Linked DNA regions of Sus scrofa. The protein of the gene in region 2 purifies or fractionates together with the protein of the main gene of each other region. This does not show direct contact. Links are inferred from orthologs where the notes say so. Each region holds a gene or a part of one and is shown on either strand. Other genes may lie near its edges.

What was found. Proteins that work in one complex are often made in the same cells at the same time.
Region 1: the proteins of ASB6 (region 2) and COPS5 purify together in Homo sapiens (affinity purification with mass spectrometry; 3 studies listed by BioGRID and IntAct, with this or other methods). This does not show direct contact. The link is inferred for Sus scrofa from reciprocal best matches to the Homo sapiens genes ASB6 and COPS5.

The regions. Positions count from the first base shown.
Region 1 is NC_010446.5:67,750,418-67,754,046, forward strand, and holds part of COPS5 (COP9 signalosome complex subunit 5), read left to right. Parts: intron 1-1,381; coding exon 1,382-1,493; intron 1,494-3,629. UniProt on the Homo sapiens protein: Probable protease subunit of the COP9 signalosome complex (CSN), a complex involved in various cellular and developmental processes.
Region 2 is NC_010443.5:269,829,142-269,831,438, reverse strand, and holds the end of ASB6 (ankyrin repeat and SOCS box protein 6), read left to right. Parts: intron 1-6; coding exon 7-113; intron 114-203; coding exon 204-312; intron 313-749; coding exon 750-836; intron 837-931; coding exon 932-1,599; 3' UTR 1,600-1,700; downstream 1,701-2,297. UniProt on the Homo sapiens protein: Probable substrate-recognition component of a SCF-like ECS (Elongin-Cullin-SOCS-box protein) E3 ubiquitin-protein ligase complex which mediates the ubiquitination and subsequent proteasomal degradation of target proteins.

The sequences.
Region 1 (3,629 bases), on a different chromosome or scaffold from region 2:
TAAAGACTGCGAGGTTTGGTAACAGACATAACTTACCATATCCTTTTGCTGCCACTTTCTAACTGTGTGGCTTTGAACAAGGTCTGTACTCTCTAGAGCTATTTCTTTGTAGAATGGGAATAATAAATCCTTCTTTGCATGGTTATAGGGAAGATTAAATGACAATGTATGTAAAGCACCAGAACATAATAGGTGCTCAAGAAATAGACTATTCCACTTGCACATTTTACTGTCTGTGTCCTTTATCTACACATACACATATCTTGATCTTGAAAAGCCCTTTACTTAATTCTGATATCTTTAAATTCTTACTTTTGTTTTTTTATTTCTTCACTCCTGAATTAAATCAATACACATTTTGTTGTACCCATGTGTCTTTATCTTTCATACCACTAACCTGAGTCTGAGCCTTTTTCTCCTCACATCTGCTCACTTTCCTTTTTGTAAGTCAGTGCTCTCTGCCTGATTCCCTCCTTGCTCTCGATACATCCACACTATAGGCCCATGTAAGACTTACTCTAAATCCTACTGTTTCCCTAGGGCTTCTCAGGCAGTTCTTTCCATACTAAGAGTATTCATTATCTCTAACATTTAATTGGTGGGTGGTTAATTTTAAATATGCACTATAGCATCACTTACTGCTTTTCAACATACATCATTACTTTTAACTTCTCATGGATCCATTCCACATTTCTCATAAAAACGGGTAAGCTCCTTAGGTAAAGAAGTCCCTTGTATCTCTTTGTATCCATTGCTGTACAGAATATAGGGAGGTATTTAAATATTTATTACTTTAAAAAAAATTTTTTTAAGTTTTTCAGACATTTAACCCAATTTTCCTTGCTCTCTCTGACTATAAATTAGGCATCTTTGGAAGCAATAGTAATTCTTTTACATGCTTTAAGGACCTACCTTAAAGTTTGCTTTTCCAAAAAGCAGTAGGTCCTACTTAGGGAATTCGAAAGGTAGGAGTGGAGAATCCACATGTTATTTTGGGTATTTTTAAAAGCTTAACAAAAGTTATAGTTGACCCTAGAGAGGTAGTTCAGTTTGTGTGCTATTGACTAGAATTTATGAACTCAATGACATGGATAAACACATGTCATTCAGTAGTTCTGTTTAGTTCTTGCTAACCTCTTAGGAATTTCTGGGCTCTATAGAGGAAAGAAATAAATACAAGAGTGTTTAGTTAATAGAAGATTTGAAGCCATGGCCCTAAAGAGTAAGGAAACTATTTTTAATCTTTTGTTCTATTGGACTAAAAACTAAAATATGACTATTTGGATATAAAGTATAATTCACTTAAATTTGACCTTAACCTCTATATGATGTGGTTGAATTATTGTTTTACTTACCAGATTATTGTGCTTTTTTTTCATAGATACTATGCCTTAGAAGTCTCATATTTTAAGTCCTCTTTGGATCGAAAATTGCTTGAGCTTTTGTGGAATAAATACTGGGTGAATACGCTGAGTTCCTCTAGCTTGCTTACTGTAAGTACTGTGCTTTCAAGGGATGTGACTAAATTTTATCTAATCTATATAAGCTGTTTAACATCTGAAACTCTTTCATGGAAAGGCTATATCTGACTTGGCCAAAACAGTAAGGCTGGGATCAGATTCTTCATGACCAGAGGTAGATTAGGATACTAGGCCAAGTCACAATCTGTGTCATGTACCATTGAGACCAAGTCTAAATGACAAATATAGTGGGCCAGGTGAGGGTGAAATCTGCCTCTGCCTTAAACACCTAACAGAGAAGAATACAGATGCTGTTTTGTCTCAGGTTGGACTCTGGTAACAAGTGACAGGAGACCCAACCAAAGCTGTCTTACACAAAAAAGAATCATGTAAACTCCAAAGTCCAGGAGTTGGGCTTACTTCAGGCATAGCCTAAGTCTGCATTCAGACAATATTATGAGGTCTTGGTCTTCCTCTCTTAGCTTTGATTTCAGGTCAGTTGGCTTCAGTTTCAGACTTCATGTGAAAGCAAGATGGCAGCATTAGCTTAGACCTCTCAGCCTCGCAGTTTCATATTCAGAAGATCAAGATACACATACACACATTCATACATACATACATACAGATGCACATTCCCAGGCAAAGCCTCATTATGTCTGAGTTTTGAGGTTACATACCCATCCTTAAAGCTGCTCTAGGCCAAGGTAATGATCACCTTGAGTGGCTAGACCAGGGCACATGCTTTACTGCTGGGCTGGGGTAGAAGAAAGTCTTTCAGGAGCCACGTGGGCTAAGAATGTCCCCAGAAGGAAATCAGAATATCACTACATAAAAGCAGCAGATGTTGAACAACAACAAGAAAGTCAATAAATATTTTCCAATATATCATTAAAATCTAACATTTACAAGAATATTTAACAAACTTCTATCTAGAGCTTAATAAGAAACAGTTCTGTTTTGGTTTTTTTTAAAACTTCATAGAGTACAGTATAGCATAGTGATTAGAACCACAAAACCTGGAATAAGATCAACTCAGTTCAAAAACAACTCTGCTGCTTTACAAACTGTATATGACCTTCAGAATATTATTTAATGTGACTGAGCCTTTCTTATTATCAATGATAAGAGTACCCACATTGTTAAGTGCACTGAGAATCATATGAAATACTTTATGTGTAAAGCAGTTCGCAAAGTGCCAGGCATTATAATAAAGCCACAGTAAAATTTTTTTGTTGTTTATTGTATTCATGGGAAGAGACCTCACTTGAGCATATTTACTGCGATTTTAAATACAGTTCTAACACGCTTTCCATTCTTTCTTCTTATCCTCAATGGTCAGAAGTAGCAAACTGGAAGGAAGGAGAGTGACCATAATAGCAAATATTTATTCAGTGCTTTCTATGCACCATGCACTGCTAAATGCCTTATGTGTGTGGTGTTTCCTTAGAGACAGGTATACTGATAGCAGCCAGAGGTGACAGATGATGGCAAAAGGAGGAACTGTAAGGCAGGAGTGATCTGAACTTTTGTATAAAAGCAGACAGCTCTACTTACTCAGCCTATGGCTGTCCCTATATTCCAGCACTGCATATATGAGGACATTAATAATTAAGAAAAGGTTATATTGGTGACTTTTTTGTGGTTTTATATATAGTATATTGCAGCACTTTAAGAAAAAAATACATTTTTTTTCAATTCATGTTTCCCCAGCTAATGCATGTAATCTAAAAGTTACCATAAAAAAATCATTTTATGATTTATTTCTCTGTGTATTTTGAAATGTAATTGATTCTTTCTTTATTTTAATAGTATAACTATTTCTGCTACCCTACATTTTTTAATAGCTTGCACTAAATCTTCCAGATGTGAGGTAGTCTACAAACCCTAGGATTTTCTCCAAATCTGTGGAGTAGAATGTATTCATGACCTAAATCATTTAGATCCAGAGAAAGTGAATATAATCACACCTTTAAAAAATATCATAAGTTTGTAAAATCATTGGAAAGCTGGTAACATTTTATAGGGCTCCTTGTAATAACTAAGATGACAGCAAATAACTCTTAAAAAATATCTTCTGGTTGAACTATATTTCCTGTACATGGTCTTACAGACTGAGCAAATAGAATAACAAAAAGATATTCCAATAAAATCTTTTTTAAAATATTACAG
Region 2 (2,297 bases):
CTTCAGACCCGGTCACCTACTACACGGCTCTGCACATCGCCGTCCTGCGAAACCAGCCTGACATGGTGGAGCTGCTGGTGCGCCACGGGGCCGACATTAACCGGAGGGACCGGGTAAGAGCCAGGCCCAGCCTGCTCCGAAGGGGGAGGCGGTAGGGTCCTGAGCAGCCCACAGGCCAACCTGGCTGTGCTTTCCTGGCTCAGATCCATGAGAGCAGCCCCTTGGACCTGGCCAGCGAGGAGCCCGAGCGCTTGCCCTGCCTGCAGCGCCTCCTGGACCTCGGCGCAGACGTCAACGCGGCCGACAAGCACGGTAGGTGCCCCCGTGGAAAAGCGGGATGCGCCTGGGCCAGGGGGCCATGGGAGGGCAGGCCGGGCGCATGCTGGTGCCCTTGCTGACTGGCGGGGGCTCCAGAGGCAGGGCACGGCCAGCCCCACGAGGGCCGTGTGGGAGGGAGCGGGGGTGTGTGCTCAGCTTCTGAGGGACAGGCCTTCTGTTGGGAGAGACCCAGCCAGGTCTCAGGTGGCATCTCAGGATCCAAAAATTCCTCATCTCCCGGCCCCCTGTTGCTGTTTTTGTGTGAGTGAGGAGTCCGGCCGGAAACCCGTCACCCTCCACCGTAGCTGAGATGTCAGCTGTCTTTAAAGTTTGTTTTCGGATCCTGAGCGTCTGTCTCCCCGCACCTCCGGGGCCGCCCTGACCTCGGCCTCCTGGCTCCCCGCTCCTCCTCACTCGCTGTCCGTCCCCAGGGAAGACGGCCCTGCTCCACGCTCTGGCCAGCAGCGACGGGGTGCAGATCCACAACACCGAGAACATCCGGCTCCTGCTGGAAGGAGGTGAGGCCGCCCTTGCACGCGGCGGCGCCGCCTCCGCGGCTTCCCCCTGCCGCCCCGAACACGGGTCTAAGGCCTTCTCCCCCCTCTTCTTCCAGGGGCCGACGTCAAGGCCACCACCAAAGACGGGGACACGGTGTTCACCTGCATCATCTTCCTGCTGGGGGAGACGGTGGGCGGGGACAAGGAGGAGGCCCAGCTCATCAACCGCTTCTGCTTCCAAGTGACGCGGCTGCTGCTGGCTCACGGCGCCGACCCCAGCGAGTGCCCCGCGCACGAGTCCCTCACCCACATCTGCCTCAAGAGCTTCAAACTGCACTTCCCTCTCCTGCGCTTCCTGCTGGAGTCCGGCGCCGCCTATAACTGCTCCCTGCACGGCGCGTCCTGCTGGTCCGGCTTCCACATCATCTTCGAGCGGCTCTGCTCCCACCCAGGCTGCGCCGAGGACGAGAGCCACGTGGACCTGCTGCGCAAGGCGGAGACCGTCCTGGACCTCATGGTGACCAACTCGCACAAACTCCAGCTGCCCGAAAACTTCGACATCCACCCCGTGGGCAGCCTGGCAGGAAAGATCCAGGCCCTTCACTTCTCCCTGAGGCAGCTGGAGAGCTACCCGCCGCCGCTCAAGCACCTGTGCCGCGTCTACATCCGGCTCTACCTTCAGCCGTGGCCTGTGGACACCAAGGTCAAGGCGCTACCTCTGCCTGACAGGCTCAAGTGGTACCTCCTCAGCGAGCACAGCGGTGCCGTCGAAGATGACATCTGACGGCTCGGACCGCAGGGAACAGGCTCTGGGTGGCCCCGTCAGCCTGCTGTGGACTTACGTACCGTGGCGGTCGTGGGGGTGCACCTTCGGTCCTGTCAGGAGGTGCAGGTTGGAGGCGAGGCATCGGCCCCCCTGGGCAGAGGAGGCTGGGGGCCCCGTGGCCGCAGGCGCTCCAGCAGGAGAGGCTTCCATCTTCCAGGGAGACTGCCCCCACCTCCCCCTGGTGGCGCCCCACGTCTCAACCCATGGAACCAGGGGCAGGGTTTGGACTTGGGACAAGTTTATAATCTTTGATTTGAGGGGAGCGCCGGGCATTTGCAGAAGCAGGGTTGCTCTAAGACCAGGCCACCTGAGAGCTGCAGGAAGCAGGCCTGGGGTCGTAGCTAAAGCCCAGGGCAGGAGGGGCCTGGAGGGTGCGGCCCAGCCGAGGGCCTTTCCTCTGGCCCCTTGACTCTAGCAACTGTCAGAAAACAAAAAGTGCTCTTGTGGGCAGGGAGGAAGCTGAGCTGCCTCCTGCCGGCTTCTTTACAGCTCTGGGGCCAGGTCACCTACCGCCCTGCCCACCGCTCTAGTGGCAGCTCTTTGTGCCAAATCTGGGGTTTCGGGGACCATGTCTTCTGAAAAACAATCATGCATGACCAGGGCCGTCCTCTCCAGAGGGTCCCATTTTGTGAGGGGCTCATCAGCTGGGCAACGCT